Linked DNA regions of Canis lupus familiaris. The protein of the gene in region 1 interacts with the protein of each later gene in a pairwise test. Links are inferred from orthologs where the notes say so. Each region holds a gene or a part of one and is shown in the gene's direction. Other genes may lie near its edges. The genes, in order: APIP, PDZD4 and TNPO2.

Region 1 (3,647 bases):
GATGGGTTATATAATATCTGTGATTCGTTTATTTTGTATTTGTGTGAGAGCCTCCCAGGAAAACCTCTGTCCAAGCAATACATGTCTCTGTTATGCTTAAATTGAAAGAAAAGATGGTGGAAGGGATTAGAGTCATTGTTAGCTGTGAGCAGGTATCTCAGTGACAGTGGAGTTGACTTCCTTAAAATAATTAGGTTGAAAGATTAGAAAAATAAAGTATTGACTCAACAACTTTTTAGGCTTTAATGTTTTTAATGTATACAAAATACTGTTAAATGTTTCTCCCTTTTTCCTTTTTGTCTATTCTTATTGAAATAAGTATTCTGATATTTACTCTCTTACCGTTCTGAACAATTTAGATGACTGCATTTTACCCAATATATCTGTTAGTTCTCACTGCTCAGTGATTATTTTCCTGGAAATTATAATTTTGTGGGTTTGAACAGTTGAATGAAGCTTTATTAACAGCTGCCTTATCATTGTTATTCCTGTAGCATGAAGCCGGCTAATTGCTGTAATAACTCAGTACTGGAAAAGACAAAAGGAAAAGGGGAGAGACCCATAATAACAGACCATTTTCTATAATGTTTGCAACTTGCTATGCAAATTGACGGTTTTAACAGTTGGAAGACTGCAGGAGTCTTCTCATTAGCTGTACTTTAATATATAATTAAAATAGCATTTGTATCACTAAAAAAGGAAATAGTAAATTATACAGGGCATGGATAATTCTGGCTAGATTTTGTAAGGACAGATATAAGGAAAGCCAATACAGAATTATTTTTTTTTTAATTCAAGAATTTTTAACACTTCAGAATGGGAAGGAAGGTAAAACTTCCAGTCATAAAATAAATGAGTCACAGGGATGAAAAGTACAACATAGGGAATATAGTCAATAGTATTAATAACATTATATGGTAACAGATGGTGGTGAGCATTGAGTAATATATAGAATTGTCAAATACAGTATATTGTACACCTGAACTAATATAATACTGAAAAAAAAATGGGAGGGAAACTAACGTTGACTGTCACATGTTATCCTGGATGCTTTATCTTCATTATTTTCTCTTTAAAAAAAAAAAAATGACTCATCCCATACCTGGAAGCCTGTAGCACTATATCTCATTTTACCTCTTACAATGTTTTCATTTTATGGATTAGTAAACTGAAATCCAAAGTCCTATATAAGCAATAAATGGTGTAATGTAGGTTTGACTTTATGTCCATTAACTCCTAAGCCTGTGTTGAATCAGAACTTTAAAAATTTTGGGGATGCCTGGGTGGCTCAGTGGTTGAGCGCCTGCCTTAGCTCAGGTCCTGATCCTGGGGTCCTGGGATTGAGTCCCCGCATCAGGCTCACCACAGGGAGCCTGCTTCTCCCTCTGCCTGTGTCTCTGCCTCTCTCTCTGTGTCTCTCATGAATAAATAAAATCTTTAAAAAAAAAAGAACTTTAAAAATTTTTAACATTCCCATGTCCTTAATTTTATATTTTGAAGTCCACTCCATCAAATTATCATTTATAACAAAATGCAATGCATATGTAAAGTATTAACAGTGAATTTGGAAAAACACCATAATTTCAGAAAGCCAGTTAAGTAGCTGAAAATTTGGTCTGTTCGATAATCATCCCTGTTCGGACTCAAAAATGTTTTTCCCCTTTACTCAGTACCAGCATTTAGCTAGGCAAGATTCCTTGCTGTGCTTTTGTGCACAAAGGGTCTGTTTCTTGTTCACCCTTACCTGGAGTGTGTAGCCCCTTGTCTTGTCTCAAACCTATGGAGGGATTTTCTATTAGATATTCCATTCTGAGCACATCCTAGGTTTAATCTCATGTTTCTAGCAGCTTGCATAGCTATCAGAATTGAAGCTTAAGCTCACCGGAGTTCTGCAAATACCTTCAGGGGAATTATGACTTCAGAGCTTCCCTCCCAGGTAGACTCTCACCCTGGTTTCTTTTATGGCCCCTGTGAAACCGTACTTCTTGCCAGCTCAGCAATTTAATTTGAAATGTTTTTAAAAACTATTCAGCATTTTTGTTATTTTCAAGTTAAGAGTCATATGTCATATTGCTAAAAATAAAAATATTGTTTTTTGCTTTCATTAATTTTGATTTTTAAAAATGGGGGAAACATTGAGTTTTTTTCCTAAAGAAATAATCATTAGCCTTAATAAAAATAAGCTCTTATTTTAACTAGACTTACTGTGCTGATCATTTCACAATATATATAAATACCTATTCTTTATATTATCCACTAATGTAATGCTATATGTCAATTCTACCTCAATAAAAATATGTAATTAAAACTCAGAATTTATCCCAACATACATACATTTGTTCCTGTGTACACATATCTTCATTGAAATGGGCCCAGAAAATACTCATTATGATTGCTTCTGAGTGAGTCCTTTCCATCTTATTTTCTTGACTTTATATTCCATAGTGAGTATACATTGCTTTTGTAATAAGAGAAAACAATGCAATCACTGTGGAAAAAAGATTTTAGAATAAAAATAAAACTGAACTAACAATGAATATGAACACATAGCTCTCATATGTATATCATGACTTAATTGAATGTTTTGTGTTAAGAAATTCACTGGACAGACTGAAGCATGTTCCTCTCAGCCCTAGATTCTGTTTTATTTCAGCCATTGTAGTAGACATTTATGTAAACTGGGCATTTCTCCACCTTGTTCTTGCAACCTGTCTCTTCATGCTGGACTAAATGGCCTTATTCTTAATAATTCCAGGTTGCAACATAGTAGATCCACTTTCTAAACATTAAAAACAAAGTATGTTTTATAATAGTTTTCTCCCTCATGGTACCTTCTCTATGGTAGATTTCCTTAAAATTCCTTACATTAGCTTTTTTTTTTTTTTTAAAGGATTTTATTCATCTATTTGAGAGAGCACAGATGGGCCTGGATACGCGCATGAGTGGGGTTTGGGGAAGAGGGAGAAGGACAAGCGCACTCCCCGCTGAGCAGTGAGCCCCCTAAGGCAGAGATCAATCCCAGGACCTTGGGATCATGACTGAGCCAAAGGCAGATGATTAACCAACTGAGCCACCCAGCTACCCCTTACACATCAACTTCTTAACAGAGACGTCAGCTAGAAAATTCACTCGATAACATAATGTCTCTTGGAAAAATCATTATCTTCTTTTTAAGGACAAAGAACATCCAAGATACCTGATCCCAGAGCTTTGCAAACAGTTTTACCATTTGGGTTGGGTCACTGGGACTGGAGGAGGAATTAGCTTGAAACATGGGTAAGTTTGGGGCTAATTTCACTTCTGGGAATTGTCCAAATAAGTAGCACATGAAGAGCCTAATACGAGTTCTATCCAAAGAACAACTGGTGCCCAGTTTTATGTGATACTAAAAATACTTAGTTTCTAAATGGAGTAATGAATATTTGCATTACTAAATAAGTGTGCAGAAGTTGTAGATACAATAAATACCTAAGGATTTAAGAACCACAGTTTCTAATCAGAATAATTTAGTCCTCAGTCTTTGGAGTACCAAAGTTAAATAATATGCTGCAAGTATGTTCATATGGCTAGAATTAGAAAAGGTCCCCCCTAGGTGGACAGGATTTGTTGTAAAGGTTCAAATACATATTTTAAAGTCACTTAAATAT
Region 2 (3,747 bases), on another chromosome or scaffold:
GTGCGAGGGAGCATGCCCGCGCCTGGCCTCCGCCGGCCGAGGTAACCGGAGGGGCGTGGAGCGGCCCCTCCCTGGGGGGCGTCCTCCCCTCCCCCGCTCGGCGGCCCGCCCCCTGCGCTAGGGTATGGCCCGCGGCCGCGGCCCGGGACCCGCGGTCCCGCACTCCGGCCACTGAAAGGCGTCTTCCCGCGGCCGCCCTCCGCCCCTCGCTGGCCAGCACCATGGGATGTAATATGTGCGTGGTTCAGAAACCGGAGGAGCAGTACAAAGTGATGCTTCAGGTAGGGACCGCCGCGGCGGGGGCGTGGGCGCGGGCGCCACCTGGGGAGGCAGCCGGTCGCCTACCCTGGAGGGCTGGAGGGCGCGGAGAGGAAGAGGTAGGGAGCCATTCCCGCCCTCAATTCGGGGGGCTGCTGGGTGTTGGCGCTCCGTGGGAACCGCGCACAAACGGGGGGGCTGCGTGGGGATGGGGTGCCGCGCGCATCCCCCGGGCGCCCGGAGTACACTGGGGGCCTGAACCCTGGGTCCGGATCGGCCTGGTTCGGGAAGTTGGGCTCGGCCCGGGGCCGGCGCGCTTGCACCCCGGCCGGGGAGCGGGGAGGCGCGGTGCTGCCGGCGCCGGCGCGGGATGGAGGTTGCATAGCAACGGGCTCCGTTCCCTGCACACGCTCGCCCCGCTGGACCCAGGGCGGGGGAGGGAGCTGGGCACCCGCGGCGCGGGCGGCGGCCGAATCCAGGGCCCCGCGGGCGGGCGAGGGGCGCAGGAGCGCGCGGGGGCGCTGGGGCCGGGGCGCTCCTCCTGGCAGCCGCTCCGCTCCGGCCCTGCCCAAACGGCGCGCGCCCAGGCCGGGTGCCGCGGGCTCCGCGACGGGGAGGCTGCCTGCGGGCAGCGGTGCCCCGCTCGCTCTCCGCCCTGCGGGGCCTCGGGTCCGGAGCCGCGAGGGGCGTGGGCCGGGGGGTGCTCGGGCGGGAGGGGATCCGCCCGGCCGCGCGCGCGGAACCCAAGCCCAGCCCGGTGGCCCGGAGCGGGGCTTCCTTGCCTGTGCGTGGCGTGACTTCGTGAGTGCGTGCCTGTGCCCCGTCTGTGTGTGCGCGGAGGCTCCTCCGGCCCCGCGTGTGTGTACTTTCTGTGTGCGCTCAGAGAGGTGTCCAGGGAAATGTCCCGGATGGTGTGGCCTGAGACGCCCCCGGGGCCAAGTGGCGGGAGTTCAAGGTCGGAGGCAGTCGGGACCCAGGGGCGGACCGGGCGCAGACAGGTATGCACTTCAACTCCGGGTTTCTGGGTCACGACCGGGGAGCAGGCGCTGCTGGGCGCGGCGTGGGCCGGGGCAATGAGGTCTCCTTAGAAGAATGGGGGGAACTCCTGTAAGGGGGCGCGGGGGCGCGGGGGGCGGGATCGGTGTCTGGGGAGGGATGGGGGAGGCCGCGGGAGCCCCGTTGTGGCCGCCGGGAGCGGGCGGGGGCAGGACGGGGAACCTTGCTCTGCCCTGGCCGCGCCACCCAGCTCCCCTGAGGCCCTGTCCCCGGGGGCGCTCGCTGCCCCTCGCTGCCCCTCGCTGCCCTCCGCCTTTCTTCCATTCTCGCCGTGCGCCCCCGGGCTGTTCCTCTCGGCCTGTTCCCTGGAAATCTTGCCTGGCCATTGTCATTGCCCGCTCGTGGAACGGGCTCGGTGATGACCCGGGCAGGGACCGAAAGGCAGCCCGCGGGAATCCCAGTGGTGGGCACCCGGGCTGCACTGGTTGGTTGGTGCCGCCGTGGGATCCCAGCCTCACCGCTTTCTTTCTTGGAATCTTCCACCCAACGGCCAGCGATTCCAGAGCTGTGCGCTCTTGACTTCCTCAGACAGGGATTGAGGTAGTATTTCGTGTAAGGCCGACCTGGTGGGGAGGCGTGGAGAGCCCCCCGCGCTGCCCTACAGGCTTGAAAGGAGCCTTGGTTGAGGGGCCACACTGGGGCGATCCTCGGGGCTCCCCCTGGCAGTGAGTTGGGGGGGCTGCCACAGTTGGGCTGGGACTGCCCTCAGGGAGGCTCCTTGTTGGAGGAGGGCTTGAGATGAACCCCGGGCAGGAAGGTTCTTGAGAGAGAGCCCCAGGCTCTTGGGGACACATGCCAACTGCCCTCTGCAGTTTCCTGCTCTGAGCCGCAGCCATCACAGGCCAGTGTCTGGGGACACCGCTCCCTTTTAAAGCTCCTGCTGAAGTTTGGGCAGAATCAGAGCCTGGGATGTAGTTTTAAAAGCGGGACTATCCGTGAAAATGAAGGGGAGGGGCGCCTGGGTGGCCCAGGCTCTTGATTTCAGCTCAGATCCTGATCTCAGGGTGGTGACATTGAGCCCCGCGTGGTGCCTGGGCATGGAGCCTGCTTAAGATTCTCTCCCTCTCCCTCTGCACCTCCGTCCCTCCCAAAATAAAATAAAATAAAATAAAATAAAATAAAATAAAATAAAATGGAGACAAAAGAAAGGGTGAATAAAAAGGAGCTGGAAAGCAGGGAAAACCATTAGTAGTCTGAGAAGACCCCGTTTCCGGGGTCTGGAGTCCCAGGCAGAGCAGGGAGGGGTTTCCTGGCCCAATCCGACCCTCTTCTCAGAGCAGAAAGAAGCTTTTGTCCCAAAAGACCAGTCGGACCCCTTGCCTGGCTCCCGTCCTCCCCTCAACACTGGTCCTCCCCTAGCGTCAGTGGTGCTTCTCCTGTCCGGTCTCTACGTGCCTGCGGCCTTGCACCCTGTGAGAGAAGGGGACCCCAGTGGGGTCCAGTGCAGCCCAGGGAAATGCACATGCACACCCGCATCACTTTGCCAGGGGACTTCCTTGGGCCAGGACCCGGACTCCCTGGGGCCTCTTCTTGGGTTCTCCAACCCCCACGTTACCGCCAGGTGTCTGTCTCAGCCTTGGGTTCCACGCCCTTTTCTCCTCAGGGCTCCCAGGCACAAAACAACCTACAGCTTTATTGAGCTAAAATTCGCACACCCCGGTAAAGTGTGCAGTCAGTGGTTTTTAATAGATTCAGAGACTTGTGCAACCATCACCACTGTCTCATTCCAGAACATTCTCATTACCTTAAAAAGAAACCCCGCCTTTAGCACTCCCGTACCCATTTCTCCCAACACCTCCCAGCCCCTGGCAACCGATCATCTACTTTCTATGGATTTACCTGTTCCAGACATTTCATCTAATGAACTGTATGAACCATACAATATATGATTTTTATGTGTGGCTTCTTTCTTTTATCATGTTTTTTTTTTAATGTTTTTGTAAAGTAATCTCTACACCCAATGTGGGGCTCAAACCCACAACCTGAGATCAAGAGTCAGATGCTTTTCCAACTGAGCCAGCCAGGCTCCCCCTAAATTTCTTTTTATTGCTGGATAATACTCCATTGTGTGACTATACCACACAGTATCCATTCACCCGTTGGTGGACATGGGGGTTGCTTCCACCTTTTGACTATTGTGAATAATGCTGTGAACATGAGTGTACAAATATCTGTTTGAGTCCCTGCTTTTATTTATTTTTTAAAAGATTTTTTAAAAGTAATCTCTATACCCAACGTGGGGCTCAGCCCCACAACCCTGAGATCAAGAGCAGTACACTTCACCGACTGAGCCAGCCAGGCACCCCGAGTCCCTGCTTTTAATTCTTTTGGGTATATAGCCTGAAATGGAATTGCTGGATCGTAGGGTAAATTCTGTTTAATTTTTTGAGAACCTGCCGAACCCTTTCCCACAGGGGCTAAGCCACTTCACAT
Region 3 (3,720 bases), on another chromosome or scaffold:
AAGTTTTTAAAGAACAATTTAAGTTAGGCCTGGTAATGCTTAACTTGATGATCTCTAACCTAGCAAACTATTTTTATACCCATTTGGCAAGTGGGGAAACTAAGACTCCCAAGTGGTGGGAGGTTGTCCACCTGTTTATCAGCCTGGCCAGGAAGTGGGGAACCGAGGTCTTCAGCTCCTCCCTCCTCCGCTGCTCCACTCTTAAAAGAGGTGCCCTACTTTGTCCTCAGATGGCGCAAGGATTACGGAGATGTCTTTCATCATGACCCTGCCCTTGCCTAGATTTCCTGGGCTGTTTCACCTCACTCAGCTTCAGGTAGGGAAAGAGATTAGGCCTTTCGTTTCAGCGTTTATTCATCTCGTTTAGAATTTTATGTCCTTGTGGGTTTCTCTCATATCCTTGTAAAAAGTATCAAACTGTACTGGAAAATAAAACAAAATGTGGCAGAGGCTTCTGCAGGCACGCAGCCTATCTTAGGCACTCCCTTTGTCTGGCTCGGCCCTTCCTTTGTCTGGGGTCTAAAATCCACGCTAGGCTCAGTCCCCTCCGATCTTTCCTTGAGGACACCTCCTGTACTCTTCCAGGTACCTTCCGGATGCGAGGGAAAAGGCAGAGTTGTATTCGTAGAGAAGGGGGTGAGAGGCACAACTGGCTGTGGCCGAGAGGTCCCCGGGCCTACCACATACCGAAAGTCCCCCCACGCGCCACTAAACTCAGCTCCCAGCAAAGAGCTACTGTCAGGCGGGCGTGAGAGACGCTGAGAAAACGAGACGCCGGGAAGACCAAACGGCCAGAGAGCCCAGGCGAGCCGCCAACACTTCGGTCACGTGACCCGGTCTCGGCGGGGCCTGGGTCTCCCCGGAGCCGGGCCACGTGTTACGGCTGCGCCTTCCGATTGGCTCTGCTGGGCCGATTTGAACGGCGTACGGAAGCCGCCGCGGCTCATCCACGGCCGCGTTTTTTTTTTCTCTCTCTTTTTTTTATTCCCTCTCTTTGGCTCCCTCCTTCCGCGCGAGTCTCAGGAGAAGCCGCAGCGCACGGCGCCGCTGCTGCCACCCGGGGCCCGGTAAGTGGGCCTTTCCCGAAGCCCGACCGGCTCGGCCCGGGCTTGTGTTGACCCCCGCCGGGCTCCGGGTCAGCGCCGCGCGCGGCCCGGCCGTCGGGGCCGCGCCTGACCGGGAAAGGCCGAGAACCTGGTTTGGGCCCCATTCGCGAGGCAACGAGAACGGGCCGGGGCGGGGGAAGGGGAAACCGAGCCGGGCTTAGGGGGTGGGGCCTCGGAGCCAGGCCAGACCCCGGTGCCTCGAGAATCGGGGCAGTGGGGCGGCTGGGATCGGGCCGGAGGGGATCTGGGGGAAGCGTCTGGGGACTCCTTAGGGCCTGATTGGGGAACGTCGCGAGGATCGGGTGTGTGTGTGGGGATATTTCGGCGGGGTTTTGGTTGGGTCTGGTTGGGGGAGGCCGCATTTAAAAGTTGGGGGTCTTCTTGGACCCTGACCGGGAGGGGCGTCAGACTTCGTTCTAGAGGGCTTTGCTGGGTCTGACTTCGAGGTGTCGCTAGGATCCGTTGGGGGGAATGCTCCGTGGGGTGTTCGTCCAGGCCTAACTGGGGGAAGCTGCAGACATCGGACGAAGTGGGTTGCCGGCTCGAGGTGGTGGGGGGCTTGGCCGAACTTGATTGCGGGAAACAGCAGAGATCCGCCAGCAGGAGTTAATGCTGACTGGGGCTGGAGGCAGAAGGTGGGGGGTGGGGGGAGACTTGGCCAGACCTGATTGGGGAAAGGGACGGGGACCTGTCCAGGGGTCAGATTTAGCAGGGTGGGCGGGCTTGGCTGGCTAGCCTTTGGAGAGGCAGCTCGGACCTGTCTGGGGATTGCTTCGGACCGATGAAGAGGAATCTCGGATGGGGTCTGGCTAGGCCAAAAAGGAGGAGCGTCTGGCATCCGGCTCAGTTTGGAGGGATGGATTAGGGGAGGTGGCAGGGATCCGGACGATTGGAGCACCTTGGGACTGTGCACCTGGGAGGCTCGGGGACCAGACGGAGGAGGAGGAGGCAGCTGGGATCTGGCAGGGCTTGAGGGCTGGATTTCGGAAGAGCGGTCTCTGGGGTTGGGAACTGTGCCTGGACCAGGGAGACCACGGGGGCCGGGGCGCTATCGTGGTCTGGGGCAGGGCCCCTGGGTGGAGAGGTGGCTGGCGCCTTGCCTAGCGGGTGTGAGGCTGGCGGAAGTTGTAACGCCTGCAGCCGGGGGAGGCGGCATGGGCCGCCCTGGGATGAAAGCTCCGTGCGGGGCCCAGTGAGGACCCGCCGAGCCCTGCCACTGCCTCCCGTGGCCTTCCATATCCCCCATATCTCCTCACCTGTGTTTCCGAGACTGCGCCGACGTGGATGGCGCAGCTGGCGGGGACCCCGCACTTGGGCTGGTGTGGATCGGCGGCCCCCGCCTGTCAGCCGAGGGCGCTCCCGCCGTGCGGCCGCTGCAGGCACCTCCACCGGGGCTCGCTGCAGGCACCTCCACCGGGGCTCAGCCCGGATCTCACATGGGGCCCTCGGGACCCAGCGCTGACCCTGGCCCCTACCCCGCAGCTCACCCTGCGCCATGGACTGGCAGCCAGATGAGCAGGGCCTGCAGCAGGTCCTGCAGCTGCTCAAAGACTCGCAGTCACCCAACACAGCCACGCAGCGCATCGTGCAGGACGTATCCTTCCTTCCTTCCTTCCGGGCCTAGGGGGAACAGGGCAGACGTCTGCAGAAGGGGCTGACACCCTAATTCCCAGATTCTCTTACGGCAGGAGCTAGCTTTGGCAGAGAATTAGGGATTAGAATTTTTGAGTCCCATTTCCAGAGGAAATGTGGCCCTGTGGGGGAGGGGGGAACACTAGCTGGCACGTGGTTTTTGTTTAGGTTCATGGTTAAAATGTCTCTTTCCCAATTGATGCTTAAAACTCTGTAAGTTAAAGTTGAAGATATTTAAACTATCAGCAAGTTTTACTTAAAAATGTAGATTCTCTTTTCTTTCTTTTTCTTTCTTTCTTTTCTTTCTTTTCTTTTCTTTTCTTTTCTTTTCTTTTCTTTTTAAAAGGGCAACATGGGACTTATGAGCAGGACTGAGTAGCAGTGGTTCTCACTGCTGTGGCCAGGCCTCTCAAGAGTGCATGGAAAGCTCAGGCGTGCTCTCCCACCCACTGGGTGACTTTGATGTGCCTGCAGCGCTGTGTTTCCTGGCATGGGGGTTGACAGGTGGCATCTCAGGAGCTGTCCCCCTGGTCCCGGTGGTCAGAGGGACTTTTAGCTACACGGCAGTGAAGGGACCCACCGGGGGAGGGGAAGGCCCTTGTCTCCCAAGTCCCTTAACAACCCGGCAGAAACTCAAACAACTGAACCAGTTTCCGGACTTCAACAATTACCTGATCTTTGTCCTGACCAGACTCAAGTCGGAAGGTATGCTCCCGGTGCCCCTCTACGCACGGGCTAGATCCCGCTTTCTCCCCTGTGCTCCCCTGACCCTCAGCCCTCCTCCCCCAGATGAGCCAACTCGTTCCCTCAGCGGTCTCATCCTCAAGAACAATGTGAAGGCACATTACCAGAGCTTTCCGCCCCCTGTGGCCGACTTCATCAAACAGGAGTGTCTCAACAACATTGGCGATGCCTCCTCACTCATCCGAGCTACCATAGGTGAGAGCGGGAGTCGGCTGGTGATGACTCCCTGAGTTCTTCC

Evidence for each region.
Region 2: the proteins of APIP (region 1) and PDZD4 interact in a two-hybrid assay, tested with the Homo sapiens proteins (2 studies listed by BioGRID and IntAct). The two-hybrid records come from large-scale screens. The link is inferred for Canis lupus familiaris from reciprocal best matches to the Homo sapiens genes APIP and PDZD4.
Region 3: the proteins of APIP (region 1) and TNPO2 interact in binary tests that used the Homo sapiens proteins (3 or more experiments, as listed by UniProt). The two-hybrid records come from large-scale screens. The link is inferred for Canis lupus familiaris from reciprocal best matches to the Homo sapiens genes APIP and TNPO2.

What each region holds. Positions count from the first base shown.
Region 1 is NC_049239.1:33,416,227-33,419,873, forward strand, and holds part of APIP (methylthioribulose-1-phosphate dehydratase), read left to right. Parts: intron 1-29; exon of another isoform or gene 30-528; intron 529-2,334; exon of another isoform or gene 2,335-2,488; intron 2,489-3,175; coding exon 3,176-3,276; intron 3,277-3,647. UniProt on the Homo sapiens protein: Catalyzes the dehydration of methylthioribulose-1-phosphate (MTRu-1-P) into 2,3-diketo-5-methylthiopentyl-1-phosphate (DK-MTP-1-P).
Region 2 is NC_049260.1:122,831,071-122,834,817, reverse strand, and holds the start of PDZD4 (PDZ domain-containing protein 4), read left to right. Parts: upstream 1-1,138; 5' UTR 1,139-1,157; coding exon 1,158-1,256; intron 1,257-3,747.
Region 3 is NC_049241.1:49,805,434-49,809,153, forward strand, and holds the start of TNPO2 (transportin-2), read left to right. Parts: upstream 1-908; 5' UTR 909-1,067; intron 1,068-1,360; exon of another isoform or gene 1,361-1,408; intron 1,409-2,588; 5' UTR 2,589-2,601; coding exon 2,602-2,700; intron 2,701-3,367; coding exon 3,368-3,443; intron 3,444-3,527; coding exon 3,528-3,677; intron 3,678-3,720. UniProt on the Homo sapiens protein: Probably functions in nuclear protein import as nuclear transport receptor. Serves as receptor for nuclear localization signals (NLS) in cargo substrates.